Drosophila melanogaster: one gene and its partners. The protein of the gene in region 1 interacts with the protein of each later gene in a pairwise test. Each region holds a gene or a part of one and is shown on either strand. Other genes may lie near its edges. The genes, in order: CG42288, CG33143, CG32204 and CG12963.

What was found.
Region 2: the proteins of CG42288 (region 1) and CG33143 interact in a two-hybrid assay, tested with the Drosophila melanogaster proteins (one large-scale study listed by BioGRID).
Region 3: the proteins of CG42288 (region 1) and CG32204 interact in a two-hybrid assay, tested with the Drosophila melanogaster proteins (one large-scale study listed by BioGRID).
Region 4: the proteins of CG42288 (region 1) and CG12963 interact in a two-hybrid assay, tested with the Drosophila melanogaster proteins (one large-scale study listed by BioGRID).

The regions. Positions count from the first base shown.
Region 1 is NT_033778.4:14,089,042-14,092,352, forward strand, and holds CG42288 (uncharacterized protein), read left to right. Parts: upstream 1-1,989; 5' UTR 1,990-2,067; coding exon 2,068-2,334; intron 2,335-2,406; coding exon 2,407-2,530; intron 2,531-2,594; coding exon 2,595-2,686; 3' UTR 2,687-2,773; downstream 2,774-3,311. Other genes in the region: prosap, read right to left, coding at 2,952-3,119; CG42287 (uncharacterized protein), read left to right, coding at 1,335-1,556, 1,616-1,751, 1,815-1,894.
Region 2 is NT_033778.4:22,612,608-22,617,329, forward strand, and holds the start of CG33143 (uncharacterized protein), read left to right. Parts: upstream 1-1,720; 5' UTR 1,721-2,114; intron 2,115-4,722. Other genes in the region: tous (testes of unusual size), read right to left, coding at 1-183, 272-355, 414-613.
Region 3 is NT_037436.4:18,943,005-18,947,568, reverse strand, and holds the start of CG32204 (uncharacterized protein), read left to right. Parts: upstream 1-1,530; 5' UTR 1,531-1,836; intron 1,837-4,564.
Region 4 is NT_033778.4:15,555,759-15,562,942, reverse strand, and holds CG12963 (uncharacterized protein), read right to left. Parts: upstream 5,269-7,184; 5' UTR 5,232-5,268; intron 5,158-5,231; 5' UTR 5,078-5,157; coding exon 5,009-5,077; intron 4,936-5,008; coding exon 4,773-4,935; intron 4,674-4,772; exon of another isoform or gene 4,615-4,673; coding exon of another isoform or gene 4,537-4,614; intron 4,470-4,536; coding exon of another isoform or gene 4,355-4,469; intron 3,707-4,354; exon of another isoform or gene 3,423-3,706; coding exon of another isoform or gene 3,221-3,422; intron 3,084-3,220; exon of another isoform or gene 3,023-3,083; coding exon of another isoform or gene 2,945-3,022; intron 2,846-2,944; coding exon of another isoform or gene 2,740-2,845; intron 2,512-2,739; exon of another isoform or gene 2,487-2,511; coding exon of another isoform or gene 2,421-2,486; intron 2,351-2,420; coding exon of another isoform or gene 2,287-2,350; exon of another isoform or gene 2,047-2,286; coding exon of another isoform or gene 1,830-2,046; intron 1,768-1,829; exon of another isoform or gene 1,738-1,767; coding exon of another isoform or gene 1,663-1,737; intron 1,581-1,662; coding exon of another isoform or gene 1,526-1,580; intron 1,129-1,525; coding exon 719-1,128; 3' UTR 507-718; downstream 1-506.

The DNA of each region.
Region 1 (3,311 bases):
AATGATGTCATATTCTTTAGTTTGCAGCATGAACAACTTAATTAGCCCTTGCTATCTTTCAACAAAACACAAACAACATGCTTCCATAAACTTTAATCGCAATTCACATTGCATGCTTATGTAACTCAGGATATTATTCCCCACAAACAAATATCCCCAAAAAATGGTTAAAGCACGCTCAGCTTTCGGTTCCCACACAACCGATCAGAATTTACAACATAATTTACTAAGCTGCACGCTGACAGTGGAACCAGAGCGGCCACGCCCCCTTGCCAAAAAGCCAAAAACAAGGCAATGTCTGTCACTTGACGCGCTGAATTTGAATTGGCCGAAACGAAAACGGAACCGGCACGAAAGACCCGGCCATGCAATTAGCTGGAGGTCATTGTGTTCGGTTCAGCGAAGTTCATTTCAGTTCAGTTCAGTTCAGTTCGATTCGAATCGATACCAGTGTGATTTCAAATCCAGTTCGGTTTCAGTTTGGGTATCGCCCAGAGTTTCCGTTTGCAATTTTGCGGTTTCAATATTGAATTGGGCGAGGCCCCCGCATTGCATTTACGCTTGACAATGTTTCGACAGCAATTTGCTCAACAAATTGCGATTAAATGTATACAATTGATTGACCATTGTTTGGCTTTCATTAGCACAAAGGAGCGGGGAAGTGCCTTTCATTCGGTGAGTAATTTGACGGCATTATAAGGGCAAATAACCGCTGATCTTGACCCCCTGACCACGCATTTACTCATATTTCAAACTAAGTAACATATGTGAATATGTTAACACGTAGTTCTCCTAATCTGTTGGCCATTGAAAAACTAACCTTCCTTGTGACTGACACTTTTTTTTTGCCTCCCCTTGACAGACTGCCATTCAATTGTCAAATATCTTTGGATCTGCAGCGTCACGATTTCCAACTGGGCGCACGACCTCAGACATTGCAGTTGCCGATAAATTGCATTGAACTTCAAAAATTGAAACTTCACGAGGGCCATTTGGCAGCCATTCGAGGGCGGCTGAGGGGGCGTGGTCGTTTTTATGTTGTAAGGGCACGTGTCAGCCTTTGGCTGCATAAAAATTTCAATCAACAACATCTGTTGAAAAATTGCATTGCGATTCCACAGTAATTGGTTTTTTGTGTGATTCAATGCAAAATGCATTTAGTTTGATTGTGAATTTGTGTCTTTTAAGGATTTTGATCCTTAATCTTAGTGCAAGATTATTATTGATTCAAATATTAAATAACTAACGCAAAAATTTTACGATCAACTGTTCCTTGCATTCTGTTGTTTTGGGCGAAATTCATGTAAAAAAAAATCACAAATTTCTGTAGCGGCATGTTTTTTAAAAAGTGCTGCTTTTTCCTGCCCCTCAACGTGGGTTGCATAATCATTGGAGCCATCTTCATAACATTTCACGTTGGGGAGCTGATAACGCATTCGGATGACACCATTTTCATCAAGCAAGTGTCCCACAAATGGTGGGCACCCGTCATCATGTCTCCGATCCTGACAATTGGAACTCTGAGCTCTATACTCCTTGTGTATGCTGCTTCGAAGGTAAGAGATTCAATTGGTTTCTTTCAAGATTCTAATGCTTTATAACATTACAAATGCAGAGCAAGCGAGGCTTTGTCCTTATGTGGATTATCATCTATGCAATTATACTATCCCTATATTTCCTAATGGCCGTTGTCCAGTTGGCCAGGTCGAAACCTTCGCCGATTATATTGGCCGTTCAGGTGTTCATCATAGGTGGGTGTTGGCCATTTTTGATTGAATATGTCTGAATAATGTCTTGATTTTCATACCCCCTAGTTGGTCTCGTTTATTCCCTGCTAATAGTGCTGGCTTTTTATCGATATTTGAGCAGTGTGGATTCTGACGATTCAATTTGATGAGTTGTAAAATAAATGTTAAACTAACGTGTAACTGAATTTAACTGATCTAGTTTACTTCTTTCAGTGTGTCCCTTTTATACAAACTAGATTTTCAACAAATTTCAGTTTCTCAGGAAAGCTTTGAAAATTGTTGTTTAAAACTTGCAGTGCGGCTGAGGATCGGATCAATCATGGCCTGTCGCTGCAAATATCTGAAGCAGATCTTTACCAAGTGCTGCTACTGCTATTCCCTGCGTTTCGGTGTGCTGCTCTTCGGATGCATTTTTCTAACCTGGTTCATTTACATCACCATCGGCACCGGCTTCATGATGGAGTGCATCTTTCCGAACGAGTATCAGAGGTCCCTTATCCCAGCACCGGCGGCCCTCAAGGCCACCATGGTCTTCTCCTTCTTCGGCATCATAGTTTCGGCCATGCTCTGCCTGGGAGTGCACAATGTATGTGATCTGTCTATTATAAATATTCCCAATATATTTAGCATATGCTTATAATACCTCATAATTTTGTAGAACAACGAGATGCTCTTCCTGCCATTTTTGGTTTTCACACCCATTTGGATAATTGTGCACATTTTTGCCCTGACCGTTTACAGCTTTAATACCATCATCATCATCCTGACTGTCATCACAATGTGTGGGTACCCCCAATAATCATGAATCTAAAGCCTAAATTAAGTATACTATTTAATGTTTTATAGTACTTTTAGTGTATGCCTGGCTGGTGGTTTGGTCCTACTACATAGAACTGCTCTTCGCCTACGAAGATGAACTGGAAACCGGTTATGTGTAATAATAGTAATAATAATGATATTTACAAATTTTAGTATGTTGAGCAAGCATTTGATGTGCCTAATAAAATAATGCATGTAGGATACAGAAATACAGATCATAATTTCGCTTGAGCAGAACTCCATACTATGTGAAGTAGACCCCATTTCGGATGTACATATTTCTCCCCGTTTAGTGAGTATTTAGCGCACATGAGACATGCCCGTGCTCTATATACACCGAAAAGACAATGGGTATCGCAGTGGTAATGACAGTGACCGACTTACCTTCGGCAGCGAGGCGAGCACCTGCTGCTTGACATCCCAAACGAGCCGCTCCGATGGGAACTGCAGACACTTGTAGACATTCAGCTCCGGCACATGGATGCGCACCAGTAGCCATCCGTCCCGCGGCTCCGGCGGCGGCTCATCGTCAAACGCACCCGACCCGGACATGGCGTCCGTATTGGCCGGGTTCTGTTTGACTTTGGGCGTGGGTGGGTGGTATGTCGTAATTTTGACGGCTTTCTATCGCACGGTCCACGAAAAAAAAACGAAGCTACTCCCGCTCCACTGGGAGATCTCCTTCTAGCCGTTCTATTCGCTTAATTTGCTCTTTCCTTATTTGGTTGCACTTCAAAGTGATTT
Region 2 (4,722 bases), 8.5 Mb from region 1:
CTGGTCTTGTCCAGCACCAACATAATAAGGGTTTCCTCCGGCGGGCGGGTGATCAGGGCCACCGATCTGGAGTCATTGGTAAAGATCATCTGCTGTATCTCCGCATTGCGATGGTTGCTCGGCAGCTCCAAGTGACGTCGCTTCTTCAGGGTGGCCAACTCATAAATGGATATATACCGACCACTAATAGAAAGTTAAAAAGAGTCCATTCATTTGAACTATGTTAGGTTGAGTTATATAAAATATAAAGCATCTGAAATGAAGCTCTTACTTTTTCGAGTGCCTTTCCACCACCGCCAGTAGTTTGCGATGCGAACTTATGGATATCACCTCGGGTCGCGTATCCTCCGGCAGCCTGCAGGATTACAAGGGTTAAGATATTCCTTAACAGTTATAAAACGTGGAGTACCCACCTGAGAAACCTTTGCTTGTTTTGGACGTAGTCGTGGAACGCTAGAACTCCCTCCACCGGATAGATGACCTCCTTGGTCAGGTTGAAGTGGATGTTGCCAATGACATCCGAACGCAGTCCGTAGATGAGACGTGGCCTTATTGTCACCGTGCTGTTGGAAAGAGAGGCTCGCTTCACATCCTCCTTGTTGGCTTCGTCCATCCTCGTTGAGTGTTGTACAAAATATATGCACTGAGACCCGGGATTACAATTTTAGCTGGCAGACAGACAAATTGGAGGAACTGAAATTCGATCAAACAACCTGGGGCAAATCGTTAGGGAGTCCTGCCAGCGACAGCAAACTCCATGGCATCCATGGGAAGTGAGAGTGAGAGCCTAACAACACCAGGCTCTGGGTCTATTCCAATCTGAACGGAGCCGCGAGCGTCCATGAATAAGTAATTAAGCGCCGCTAAGTATGCTTTTAATTTAAACCCTCGAGTGACAAGGGAGGGGTCTGTGATGAAAGCTAAGCGCTTGATAAAAACAACATTGAAATTTCCGCCGAAACCGGCGCTCGTTTCCTGGCCAACAATAGAGCAACAGCCACACCGTCGCACTTGAACTCTGTCAATGCGCTTTTCGCTGAATATGGGTCTGCCAGTCACTGTGTCACTCTGTCAGTCAGTCAATCAGCCAGTCAGACAGCCAGCCAGTCAGTTGGGTCTCCAAGCATTGTGTCATCCCCCAAAATCCCCACAAGTAGTTGGCGGCTATCGTCTCCTTGGCACTGCGAACACGACCTAACGCAAGAAATTGTTAGTTAAAGAAAAGCTGCTCGGCCCCTCTTCAGCTGGGAAATTCTTGGGAAAGGGGGAAAGCTTTTGTGTCCACAATCCTACAAGTTGGATATGCCGAAAATGGTTTGAGCTCTCCCAGTTGGGGAAATAAATTGGGTGGGGAATTGGCTTGATTAATGGTTTTCCTTTCAGACAACACAATTTTCATGTGTATAAAGTATTTAATAGCAGTATTGTCCAATAGAATAATTTCAAACTCAACTACGTTGGGGTGAACTTTGGCGGTACTTTTGTGATTAATAGTTATTAGAATTAGAAAAGACATATCAGAAAGAAAATTTTTTTAAAAATATAACAACAATTTCAAATTTGTCTGTAGTTCATTAAAGATTTCCATCAAGTACACCCCCTTCGAATTAGCCATAAAATAGTCAAATAAGCATCTCCAATCCGTGCACCGCTGTCGTGGAAAGCTTTCGCTCTTTCGGCTTTCTCGGTTCAGTTTCGTTTTCATTTTCCGCTGTCCATTTCAGTAGTAGTTTTCGCGTCGGCCGCAGCACAACGAGCAAACGGAAACCGGAAACGGAAGTGAAAGCAAGCGAAAGGCAGTGGCTCCAAAGCACAGTTAATCGGGCAGAGAGCCGAGTGCAGACAACAGTCAACTGAGAACTGAGCGCAGTGAAGTGTTTGTTTTCGCCGTTATCAGTGGATGCACGCCTTTCCACCTCCGATTGCGAGTAGGGATCGGGCCAGGGACTGGGATTCCGAATCCTCATCCGCACTCGCATCAGCATCCACATCGGATTCAAAACCAAAATCAGTATTGTATCCAGGCTCGCGACCCGCACGGAGGAGGCGGCGAGCCGGAGAGGCGTGTCACTAGCAGGTGGCCGAGCCGGTTAACCAGAGTCCGACGGCAAAAAGTAAATAAAAAAAAAAAAGAACTTGTAAATTGTGTGACAGTACATAGCCTTTGAGGGCTGAATTGTGTGTGTTTTGCAGATTTCAAACGTGCCGCGAGCTGTTAAAACTTTTGTTTGTCCACTGGACGAGAGAATTTCCACACAGTTATCATTTATCTGAAGCAATATTTTTCTTTTTCATATATAACAGATAGTTGGAAGCTAGTTTATACTCAAAGTTACATTGTAATTAATATTATTATTGATCTAGAAAAACTATTAAATGGCCTTATAGCACTTTTATTGTTCTCTATCGATTTACGACTTGGCCGAATACTTGTCTGGTTATTCTCGAATGATTTGAAAACTATTTTGAAACAATCAATGCTTGGGCTTAAAAATAACTTCGTGCCACAGTTCTTACAAATGTGAAAGCCATCGGATCTCCGAATTTCTTTTCTGTGTGTACATAAGTAGGTGTGCTTGTGATTCTGTGACAGTCGCTCAATTAACAGTGAAAACTTCTGAGTCCTGAGTCCTTTGCGGCTGTTTTCAAGGAGGCAACTGAATTTTAAGCCAATTAAATTGCGCAAATCAGAATCGGAACTGGGAAAAAAGGGAACGGAAAATGTGCGATGAAAACGCAAATGAAATGGAATGGAAAATGGCCTAATGGACTCTGTCAGCCAGCAACTCAACCTGAAAAGCAGCACAGCTGTGGCAATTAAAAAGTAATTTTAATGCTCCTGTTTCGTTTGTTTTGCGAAAACAGGCAGCGAATTCACAATTAACCTGTGTGTTTTTGAATTTTTGTGTGGGTTAATACCTCGCCCTTGCACTGCTGTAAATCTTTTTCATCTCTCAATTTCCCCTGTTTTATTTGGCCATTCGAACCGTAGCGAGTCGCACGTAGTAGGTTATTATAAACAAATCGTTCTCCACAAAGAATCGTATATGTATGTATATATGCATATTTATACCGATATCCGCACATTCACCGCAACTAGAACAGGTCAAATGAAAATCGGATCGGCGGCAAAATGCCCGGAAAACGTAAATGTTCGTTTAAATTTAAATCCGTCGCAACCACAGTCGCCGCATTGCGTGCATTGCTCCACCATGTGGCAGTACATCTAGATATATGCACCGATTCTATATATGTTTACATATATATATATATTAACACGACTCGCTCCCCGTATTTGTGGACTCGCACGAAGTCGAGCAAAATGCCGCAAAGTTTGACCGATTATAAATGGAAATTTCTTCATCGCTGAAAGTTGTTTGTGCTCATTAGCAATCTGTAAATAAACAAAATTTCATCGTAATGGAATGAGTTTACGCATAAATAAAAACAGCACGAAGAAATCCATCAAAAAGTCTAAAGAACAACGTGAAGTTTTCTCATAATGGAGATCATAATAAGCTGAAGTGTACACACATCGAAAGCTATTATTTTGATTATCCCATAAAAACTTGAGTCCAATCAAAAATTCTTTCTTTACACGGTCATAAGAATAAAATTTGGAATGAAATGTTTACAGGTAACTTAGCCATTCGAACTGAGGTAATCTAATTGGCTTGTTAAATGCGAGAAGCATAAACTATTTATCTTGTCAATGTATTTTTTTACTATTTTACTGTGCTAAAAAGTTTATATTTTTCGGAGACTGTATTTTAACTTTCAAACTTTTCACACTCAACTGCGCATTGCGGAAAAGAAAAATCCTGCAGAGAATCTGAAATGATACCATGTTGAACTTTCATTGTTGCAATTATTTTTTTATCAGCTCCCATCCTCGCGAGCTTTAAGCTGAAAGTAGTACTCAATTAAAGCCAACTTTAGCCTCCCATTACGCGCTTAATTTTTTATCATCATCCTTGGCAGCCTGTTTCCCGCATTTCCCCCAACTCTTCACTGCACTCCTTTCATCAGCGACCTTCCCCACATCTTCTGTTCCCAGCATACCTGTGGAAAATCTCGCCGAAATTGGAGTCAAGTGTTTTCCCTTATTTTCTCTAGCCTTTCGTTTTTTGTTTTACCGCCAGGACATAATAGCATGCGCCCGCCCTTTCTTTCGCCATCTCTTTCGCTCCGAAACGTTTCACTTACACACACCAGTGCTCGCACTTGTACAAATATACACTCTGCACTGGGAAAAATTTCTTATTGTTCACCACAAACTCTATTTAACTTCAAGCAACACTAAATTATAGATCATGACGTGCTGGGTTTAAATTTCAGGTCATTTCCTAATTTAAAATTTTTTTGAAAATTTTACTCCTAATACGCATAAAACATATAATTTAATAATGAGCTTATTTTAAGTTGCAGTTGCTGAGACACACACTGATAGGCTTTATATGGCTCTTGGACTGGCATTATTGCTCATCCGCCATGTTGGCTTGCCAGTTTAGTCATTAGTTCCAGGTCAAATGTTGACTTTTGAGCAGTGTGCACCGGTGTAAAAGCTGAAGCGCAGCACACACAAGCCTTTGCCCCGGTATTTCCCATTTTCTCCTAGCCCTTTCCTTTCCTCTCCATTCCATTCCTTTCCTTTTGGCTTGGCTCTCGGCTTTCGGGCTTCAATTGTAGCGACCAAGTTGACCTTTTTGTTAATAGCGCTCA
Region 3 (4,564 bases), on another chromosome or scaffold:
GAGGGGTATCCCACAACCCGTGGCCCGAAACCCGCATCGGCAGCCCTTTTTTGCATGGTGCGCTCCACTTGGGGCGCAGTGTGGCGTAAAATGAATTGAGACATTCGGGCTCGCATAGAAAAACCCGGATCCTCCGGCCGAAAACCGCAGAGGTTCGGAGGTCCTTCAACAACAACTTCTGTGCTCTGCAGCGCCCTGAATGCAAAAGTGGCAAAAGTGGCAAAAGTTTTGCACCACTCGGCCGATGAACCACTTGAGCCCCCCACTTTGTTGTGCATTCAGGTGTGAAGTTTTTGGTCGGCGCACAAAAGTATGCTACAAATAATTAAATCATGCAAGGCAATTGCTGGAGTGTGTTTGTGTGGAAAGAGAGAGAGAGAGAGCGCGAGAGGGAGATGAAGAGACCGGAAACACTCGCTCCTTCTCCCTCGCGGCGAGACAAGTTCAATGCCGCCTTAAGGTCCTTGTCAGCCTGCCATCTAGTTTGATATTATCTAATCGATATTTATATTCCTAGCTCGCTGCCACCGCTCCTCCCGACCTTTCATATTCCTCCCTCGTCTGTTTTTCACGAATTGGAATTTGCATATGACACAGGAGCTGTGGACCCACAAAAACAAGGAGGCGAAAGCCTGTAAGAACATTGGAACGAGGCCGAAACGAAATCGCCAGTGGCAAAACACGCTGGCCTCTTCCATCACGCTGGTTTACTTTTTGCGATGGCCGGCATTTCCGCTTCCGCTCAAAATGCACACCGAAACGTTCAATTACGGAGCCAGAGAGAAAGTTCAACTTTAATAATTTGTTTTTTGTAAGTGAACTGTACGTTTTCCGGCACACTCTGAATCCAGTTTTTTTTTTCGAAAAAAAACAATGTTATTGGAAGTAGTAACATCAATATAATTCCATTTTTGAAAACTTTTATTATGTAGATAAATAGAGAACTATAAAAAACAGATAGCCAACTCGTACTTTAAATTTTTTTCGTGCTTTATATTACTCTTACCAGATAATTTAACAAAACCCTTGCTATAAAACAAAGGAAAGACCACGAAAAGCAACCATATGGAACCGTCAGAAACCAAAACTCACGTCGAGATAAATTGAAGTTTATTTGCTCGACTGCTTGCGGCTGCTGCACTTTTTCCAACTTTTCTTCTCCTGTTTTTGGCAGACACTATTTGCTCTTCTCACCTGCATAATTTATAAGCTAGAAATCATTTGCATGCAGTTTCCTTGCACTTTGTTTGCCTCCGTTTTCCGATTTTCCTTATTTTTTTTTTGAACAGGAAGCGTGGAACACAAGCTGCCAAGAATGTGAAATGTTTGTGTTTGACTTTGGCTTCGATATGTTGCACTTAAAACAATTGACGGCAAACAGGGGGAAGGTATCCTGTGATTTGGTCTAAACATGAAAACTGGTCAAAATGTATCTCTTCCGTTCGTTTTCCGACGCTCTCGCCAGAGGAAAGCTCTTCGGGAAAAGCTCCACTCGGATTTTCCTTATAAACGTAGAGCACTGATAAAAACTCGAGCAGTTACCGTTTCGGTCGCGTAACGACAGCAGCAAAATCCGAGAGCTGCGTTCGTCATTAAAGCCAAAACAATCAAAAACAACAAGACCGAATATATGAAAGTAACAGTTCAGAAAACAGACGAAATTCTCACCGCAACTCGCCGGTAAAAAGTGGGAATAAACAAATTGGATATACAATTAATTTTGCGCGGAGAAAAAAACTGAGCGAAGCAAACAGAAAGTGTTTTGTTAGTGCAAAGTGTGAAACTCAAATAAACTTTACAATTGGTGAATTAATAAACCGAAGCTCCACAAATGAGGTAAGTCAAAAGAAGCGTAAAAAGAGCTATAGAAGCTGAGTCAAATTAAAAAACCCCAGAGGAAATGCGCTAATTAGGAAGGTAACAAATGCTGAAAGAAGAAAAAGTTTTAATGTGCCATGAGATAAAATTAAGCAGATGGCAGCTTAAAAGTAAAAGTGGTAGGACCTATAAATGTTCAAGGATTAATCCACAACATATTTACTAAACAAATGCAACAAATAAGCCTAGCTAAATAGTCCTTAGTTTTTTACAGTTTTAATCTAAGGTCTTCAGCAACTGTTATTCACTTCAAAATCACTTTCATTTACTCTTCAAAATATACAAGTGCAAAATACCTTTTCATTTAAAAGTTGATATTCATGCACTTCAGCCCCTAACACTCGTTCAAAATTCTGCGAAGCGTACCGAAATCACATACAGAAATCACTCAAAAAATGTTTTATTTCGTCTGCCTCCATTTCACAAAAAAAAAAACGGTATAAAATCCCAGGGGGAAGTGGCAATTTAACGGCAGTTTGTACCCAGACAACCTTTAAAGCCCTGTTTCGACTGCCTTTAGCCCGCTCCGAAATGGGTCTTTTGAGTTTTGCAGCTACTGTTGGCCTGGTGGAACGTATGGGCTTAAGTTAAGCACGCAGGACCAAGGTTGGGATAAAAAATAAATTTGGAGCACGAAAAGTAAAAGCGATGCTCAAGTGGCACGGCGCTTAACACAAATTAGACGCACTTAATTACGGCCCAAACAGTCGCAGCTAGCGGTCGTAAAATGTATAAAAAATATTATTGGAACCACAACCGAGCCAACATCAGGCAAATATATTTAAGCAGTTCACCAGAGAGAGAGTGGTTTAAGAAGTGGCTGTGGGTCTGCAGGAGGGTACTTTCAATTTCGGGCATTCAGAAGTTGCGGCTTAAAACTCAATTAAACGAATTGGCAAAAATTTAATTACAATTTCAGTTTCCTTTTCGTTTTTAAAGGAGATCACCAAGGACCCTTCGCACAGAAAAAGAGCCAGGGAAAAAGAGGATGGGCGATGCGGAATGGGGCTGAATGGATGCTAGATAGACAAGGCAGCGGGCAAATTGTTTTGCCAGCTGCTGGCAAAGTTCATAAAAAACTAATAGTAATGCAAACTGAAAACAATTAACTGCGTTTATGAGAGGGAAATGACTCAAGCTCGAAATGCTTGGGATTAAAGAGAAACTTTGATAATAAAGCCATCGTCTTATGAAATATATAATTAATATGTATTATTATAAAAACAAACTTTGATTGTCATATTAACTTCAAAGAAAATGTGAATGCAAATTTCACAATTCTATATGCACACTGCCAATCTAAAATCTAAAAGCTAATGGTATTTAATATAAAAAGTTTGAACTTTAGAAAACATACAATAAGAGCTCGTTGAAATGTTCTTGTATCGAAATAAATAGTAGCTAATTACATATTTAAATTTCGAAAACTTACAAGTCTGCCCACCCATATTGGCCAACCAAAGTTTTCCCGCCCGAAGCTCAACCCTTCCGCTAATGCCAACAACTTCGGGAACAACAACAGCCATTTCCTGTTCCTCTGGGCCCCAAGTTAGCCACGTTTTATCTGCCGAACAATAGGCTCATTAGTGGAACAGGCCACACCAACGAAAATGCGCCACGCCTCTTGGGCAAACTTTTCTTAATATCAACGCTGGCTTCCGAAAAAATACATAAAATAATATTTGTGTTGCCAGTAAGTTTTAGGGGCAATTAATTCGGGCGGGGGAAACTTTAATGACCAAAAAAATCCCCAGTGAACTTACGCCATTTGCCATAATTGGAAATGAAAATATTTATTGAATTATTCAGGGTAATGCTCCAGATATTACAAGTTCCGCAATGAATTCGTTTTAAAGAACATTTAATTGAAGACAAGTCTAAAGCTTGAATCTGTTAAAGAAGAGGTTTAAGCACGGGGTCCTTGGGCCGAAAACTTTTCCATCAACTCAAGAGTTGGCCCGTCAATCGCAATTTTCAAGTAGCGACAAAGTAGCGCAGAATGAATATGCAAAATACTTCTTTGGAATAGACTCGACTTTCAGCGCCTGAGAATCCTTGGCATCAACCCCCTGAAACAAGTAATTCCACTTTATTTAAGTTTTTTTCTTTAGCAATAAACCGCTTTCGACCAGAAACGGATGCCAATGCGTTTAAGTTTAGTTCAGTTCTGTTGAGGCTAAGAAAAAAGTGCGCGAAAACTGCATCAGAATGGAAATCTAGAAAAATGCTTTGCAGACTTTCAACTGTACTTTTTCTCTCTGGGGCACTAATAAAAATAGCGTGCAAAAGTTTTGTCTTCTGCACTTCCTTGCACTAAAGTGCAAATCTTTTTCGGAGGGCTCACCGAGTCCTTATGCACTGAAAAGGGATCAATGTGTCCTCGGCAGAAAATCGAAAAGCAAAGTAAATGCACTTCACATTCAATATAACAATATACGAAGTAAATCCAATATAACGCGTTATGATCTCAGAGTAAAGAAGCATAATGTTTTCTCACTTAAGGTGATTTAATAAAGTAGTTTCACTGTTCTTTTTGCCCAAACACAATGCGTTTTAACCACTTCTGAACTTATAAAAACCATAAAAAGAGCACGAACAAAATAACGACCGAAAGTGTCAGGATCTTAATTCTTGACAGCACTTTGTGCACTTAAATTTTCGAAACTCACGCAGTGCTGAGAATGTT
Region 4 (7,184 bases), 1.5 Mb from region 1:
ACGTACAACTATTTATTATAATCTTACAAGTGTATTTATTCTCTGTAAATAGCTTTAGATCCCACGAATACCGTTTATCTATGTGATAGTCTACAACGTTTTGCTGAACTCCACCTATAATTTATTTCCTCGGTATTCACACTGCGCTTAGCTGTATAATTGTTGACTTCTCAATACAAGATGAAAAAACATATACACATATTGATAACTAATTACAATAAATAAAACTTGTCTACCGTAAGCTTTAAAATCTGCTGAATCTAAGGTTAATAGCCATACGGTGGCAGCGGTTAATCGTATGTAAATTAGAAACCATTACTTTTTCATTTTTAAATAATGTCGATTACACGATTTCTGAGTTTATGCTTTATGGAACTTATTTATTTTTGATAAGAACTGATTTTTCATGATTCATAGAACTAATTTATTTTGTATTTTACCATTAAGAACCGATTTTTATATTGTACTTAATCATGAACTTTCCCAAAGTTAAAAGTCATTATTTTCAATTAAATAATTCACTTTAATTTTCATCCTATGTCCTAAAAATATATATTTACAATATGCGACTCCTAATGTCTAGAACTTAAATAGGTATGTACTCAATAAGATCACACAAGTTCATTTCTGTACTGAAAGCGCACACAAAGTGGCATCTGTGTGGCCCAGAGTGGCACGGCGAATGCTTCAGTTCCAATTTATCCATGCCTCCGACGGATCACACCGCTGTCGTTGGCAATGGAGCAGGAGGACCAGATCCGGAGCTGGGTGGAATCTGTGCCGCGCGGGAGGTGGATGGCTCCATCGGTTCCATTGCGATGACAGTGGCTTCTGCGGCGGACGAGGAATGTGGATCTGTCTCCGAATACGGTGGCGCCGGCAGTGCCGCGATTCCAATGGGACTGGGTACACCGAGGGGCGATTGGGGAACAGGCATTCCAGCCGCTGCTGCTGTGGGAGTGGTCAGGTTACACATGCGCATCACCTCGTCGTAGCTGGGTAAATCCTTTTCATCCTTTTCCAGTTGATCGCGAATGCGGTTGGCCTCCACGCTGCCGGGTTCGATGAAGAAAATGTCGCCATAGCGGTTCGATGAAGGATCCTCCTGTGCGTTGAATACATTACGATCTGAAAATAGGTTAAGAAAAATAAGTGAGTAGTGAATAGTGAATAGTGAAGTCTTTAAACATATAAAACTCATAGGACGAATGATAAGAATTTAATTAAAGATTACTTGATTACATCATATTGATATTTGGGTAATGTCATTTAAAGGAGAGTTGTTTTATACACTTCGAAATATTTGTATATGTGCAGTTTGATTAACCCACACAACAACCTTGTTATTCGTTAATTAATTAAAATTGGAAACACTGCTCTAAACACGACCTGATAAGCACATTTTAAATGGGCTTCTAAAAACGAGTTGATTAGTCATATTAGCACTCCAAATTTCACACACACAATAAACACTTTTGAGGATAATATTTCTACCAGTGTGACCCAAATGGGCTATGTTCCATACCAGCTTGTATCTGGCGACGATTTCGAATCCTTGAGTCGTGCATTCGCTTGGCCAGCTAACAAATAGATAAATCAGTTATGGGCTTCTTTACTTCAAAGCCATTAAGATAAACTCAGCTTGCAGGATTAACTACATACGTATATAAGCTGGGCCACCGCGAACATGCAAAACACAAAGCCCAGCGCGACGCTCAGATTAGCTGTCAGACCCATTCCGCAATTCTCGAAGACTGGCCAAAAAGTAATCGCCCGAACCTAACCGATTAGATTGGCTTCCTGCCCACTTTCGGATTGGCACACGTTACCAATTTCAATGCCGTATCGCTGACGATGGTGCTCTGGAATCCTCTGCTGACGTCGACATCGCGGCTGGCAGATCTTTGCCAGAGTTTGGCTCTCTACGCGGATGTAGTAGCAGGCCAGCGGTAGTACGCAGAAAAAGAAGAACACCAGGGCCAAATAGATGGCTATGTGCAGGCCGAAGCCGCTGCCCCAATCCAATGTCGGCTCCGATCCGTGCATGATGAGACTTAGAACGACGCGGAGCAGGAATCAATGCCGAACTACAGCCACCAACTGCGTTTTGTAGACACTAGTATTACCCATAGTTCGCCGTTCAGCACGCAATTGATTAGTCGCCCAAGATTAGATTGTCCGCCATGTTTGGTTGGCATTACCCCATAAATGTTACTCCATATATCAGATATACCATATATACGGTCCGGCGGTTTGCACACACAAACCAAAGCCAGTGTAACTTACGAGAATCTATTCGATGGTTTCGATGTCTATAACACCAGCATTTCAAGATCCAAACAACAGCGAACTTTGGGGGAATAAGAACAGAACTTGGTTACCAATCACCATCGAAGGGATTTGCTGAATCTAAGGATCACCTGTAGGGCTGCATAGGCCACGATGCCGATCAGCAGGCGTAAAAAGAAAGTGGCTATGAGTTCCATTTTGCAACGAGCTCTCCAAAAGACTGACCCCCCAAAGTTACTGATTTGCAATATTAGCAAGACGTTCGAAATCAGCTTATCACGAAAGTCCACAAAACAAACACTCTAGGCTTTATGGATTTATGGTAGCACTTGATCATCAAACCCACCCACACACAGTCACTGTTTGTATCAGTTAGTCAATACATATATAAAACCGTCAATACATCAATACATCAAGCCATCAGAGGCAGTTCAAGCCATCAATACATACCAGTACGCTGGCGTTGACGTTGTCGTCGACGTCTACGTCTTACCGGATCTTGAAATCCCCGAGGATTGGTTCCACAGCACTTGTTCAGAATAATCCATAGTATAAACTTTTGGGGGAATATCAAAGAAGTGATGAGTGAAGGACTAAGGAAGGAAACTTATATCCCTCGCTTAAAGTTAGGTTCAAAAATGTGGTGGACAGATACCTGAAGAGCGAAATAGACCATGGGCATGATCAGGAAGAAGATAAAGAACAGCCCCACATAGAAAATAAAAAAATCCATTGTGTCAATACCCGCCAGAAAAAAACACACAATCGAATCACTTGAATGGCGAGTTAAAACTGAGAACTCTGCAAAACGAATTTCTAGCTAATCTTATCTGGGCCAAGAAACCCATCTGATTGGCCAAGTATCTATATATATACCGTCCGATAGCCACCGAAAATAAGTCAAATTTGGCTTGTTTTGAATGAAGCGTACCATGTCGGCGTCTGCGACTCCTGGAATCCCTGGCCTCGAAGCACACCCAAATGCAGAATCTCAGGCAGCAGAAGGTGACCGCACAGGAAATGAAGGCCAGGAAGAAGAACACCAAATACGGCGGTATATTCGACATTTTGTGATCCGAAAATTCGGTATATCCACGTGGATACGCGAGCACCGGCGATGTTATTCGCTCCATGAAAAGGCCTTAGGCCAACTGTCATAATATGGCGCGTCGCTAGCTTTTGGCCAAGACTTATCGGCGACTGGGAAGAGCGCGGATCGCGGGAGCGGCGGACAGGTGTGTCAAGGGCCATGTGATAAGCGCTCGACGCACAGAGTCCGATAAGATACGCCTCGCCACTATCGCTGTCTCAGTCGGGCGGCGTTCTATTACCTGTGTGCCAGCTGTAAAAGTATCTGTATCTGACAGATATGCGCATAATTACGCTTTGGATAATGTCATCCGGGCACGTGACAGGCGAAAGTCGCGAAACTAATTAAGGAAGCAAATGTCACATAAATCAAATGTTCTAGATTATACTTCTACAAGCACTTGAAAATTATATAGATCGTTTGGAAAACTTTTTTTTATAAACAATTGTAAATTTCTTGCAGTGCAAGAACTATTCTGATTATCAGATTTTCTGTTATTTAATAGATTGGGGTAGATAAGATTTAATTTAAATTTTTATCTGTACATGGTATACTTAAAGAAAAACAAGTGTCTAATAAAAAAAACATGTTATATGATATTTTAGAAAACCGATTAGTTTGCGAATGGAAAATTGGTATTGAAATATATTCATAATTTTCTCTCTTTAAATTCATTCAATGCCATGTTCAAAAAATCAGTTGACACTTTGAAATCTTCCTAATTAAGTAATTTCTTATACTCATTGAATAATAACCAAATGCTTCTTTCTCATGTCTTACAACCCATTATTGTAAATGAACATTATAAGGCATTGACTTTAGCCAAGCGTAAAGCAGCGAATATAGCTGAATGTGTAATTAATTCATAGCGATTCATTTGTAGACAGACAAAGGAACATAATTTAAAGGGCGGAAGAACATTTTCGCCATCAAAATGAATGCCACAAATCACTGCGGGCCACCTGAGCTGCTCACCTGGCGTCCAACTGAGACGACTACTCAATCCCGGCGACGAGGGACACGAGGAAACGAATCTGCTCAAGGGCGGGCTAACTGGCAATCTCCTTCGACGCTTCTGGGCTACACATCTCTGCAATTATCTGGCGGATTCACTTCCATTTGCATTGATAGCCACTAGTTTTGGGCCAAGAACTCACACTGATGGAAAAGTATAAAATCAGCAGGAAGAGGAGCAGCAGGACACCGAACTCGCACCAACGGAACTGGTCGCCCATTTTGCGGAATATCTATATGGCCGAACTGCGACCGTACATCTGAATAAATTAACGCTACTGTCGAACATTGGGAATCTAACCGAACAACCGAACCCATCGATAAGGGAGGCACCATAGATAACTTTATCGAAAAACGCTTGTGACTCATGGCTGCTCACCTGTGCTGAGGGTTACTCCTGACTGATCGATTCTATAGCTGTGCAGAACCCTTCCGGGCTGTCGATTTGTTGGATTCTCCCCAGGACCAGGACCTCGTCCTGGACCACGACCACTTGAGCTGGTTCGACTAGGAGTCTTTTGTGTGGCGCACAGACAACAAGCCTACAGGGTCAATAGGGGATCGTTGTCATCAGACAGGGGTTGAAATTTTGCGATAAATCACTTGAGAACTTACTCGAATCAGTATGCATACAATTGAGATTATGAGGAACCAGCCAATCATCATAAAAGCGTAATAGGGCATTATGAAATTGAGAACTTAAGACCGGAAGTCCAGAACAGACAACAGCACCGATTTACCACCGTTCGCCGCGCACAAGAAACCTTGCTGAAATGGCAAAGGCAATGCCACTCATTGCTAACAGCCTAATCACCAAACAAAACCAAATCGCACATACAACCCTTATCAATCGGCATACAATTTTGCGATTAAAACTAGGCATACACGCGCACAGCCAACGCAATCGGTGGTCTCAATCGGGCTGAATCGGGACTTACGCACCTGGGGATTGGCCCCCTGCCGAAAAGCTTTCGGTATCGTAGTCCCCGGAGTTGATGTTCCTTCTGCTCTTGTAGCACAACTATTGGGGGTAAAGACGGTGATTAAAGTTATAAAACACACCAATCAAAATCAGGAATATAACTCTATTACAGTATGGTTTGCTCTTGAACTGTACGAAAGTCATGATTATAAGCATATTTAAGGTATATCAATCCTCAAAAGTAATAACGGAAAAACCAGAGATATGAGTGTAGTAGTTATTACAACATTTGTGATACAGCTTACTAACTTACGCACCTTGAGATAAATTACTCCCGACATGGGAATTCCCTGATTTCATGTTATTCCTCACGTTGTAGCACAACTATAAAAGCAAAAACAACCGAAATGCCTTTGAAAATCAGGAATATACCCCACAGAAAAGTGGCAAAGGACTCTCAGAATTTACAGGATTATATAAATATTTAGAAATATGTTCAAAATATGTGAAGCTAGTGTGTGCTCTTCAGCTGTTAGAGGAACATTAAGATATATTCCTGATTTTGAAAGTGCAGACTTACAACAAACACCAGGAAAAATAATAGTGAAATGTAGAATATGTCGATCGCTTCCATTTCTCGAGATGGATTAAATAAGACTGTTGGGTATTTTTCGAGAAACGACGTAGAATGCGATTCAAGTTGTTGGCCCATATCTTGGAGAACCCCCATCGAATAACAGGCATTATCTTATCGGCAAAGCTTTTGCAGCTTTTTTTCGCCAAGTTATATAGCCAGAAAAGCCTGGATCTTACCTTCCATGGCCAGGCGCAACATCATCTCATGGCGCAAAAGTCGGGCATAAACCCGCATATTCCACTCGTCGATCTTCAACTTGATGAACAGATAGCACTCCTTGGGATTGGGGTGATTTGACTAATGATATCTAATCAACGTTGAGATTTCAACCTACCCGAGCGAGTAGCAATACGAGAATGAGCACTATAAATGCAAAGAAGCAGACCCCTACATACATTGGACCCAACTGGACCCTAGCTGGTGATTTTGATAAAAAAAAAAAAACAATAGATTCTCTCAAACTAATTTGGAAGACTTGACTAATAGAAGCGGAGTTACTTGGATAAACTCACCAGATTCGTGCCGATATTGCAGGCAGCAGACGCACTTCCACTTGTGATTGGGACAGATATAGGCCTTAATAAATGTTGAATTAGGCAAAATTCTACAGGAGGATAAACCAGCCACACTCACCCTTATCAAAATAAGGAATATCAGAATGAAGGATATAAAGTAATACACCTCGACGAGATCCATTTTGAACCGAGTCTGGGAAATGTGTGGCAGCAAATGAGTCGAGGACCACGGGAATACGAAATTAAGACCCGGGAAAATTGTGATAAAGCTATTTCGATAAACAAAGATAAAGTCAGCGTTGCATCAACCTGACAGCTTGGGTAATTCTGCTGGGCTATCAGATAAGCAAATCAGAGCTAATTATAGCCAAAGGCAATAAACCTGGCATGTGCGACCAGTTACGAGTTAGTTATCAACTGTATCTCTAAGCCTATTTGTGTACTATACAGCTCCCTCTCACCATTTCGTGTGTCGTTGGTCCGCTCCGATCTAGGCCTGTAATCACTGCTCTGGCCAGCTCTCTTGGCCTTGTGGTAGGCATTCGAAAGGAACTGTTTTGGGATAAAGAAACGGATATCATGTAGTGCCCACTTCCGGCTCGAGCGTTAGCTACTCACGACTATAATGAGAATGATGACCAGAAGCACCACGGAAAACGAACTGAACTCTGCACCCATGACTTTGGCAGTCCTCGCGGAACAAGTGCTTTATGACAA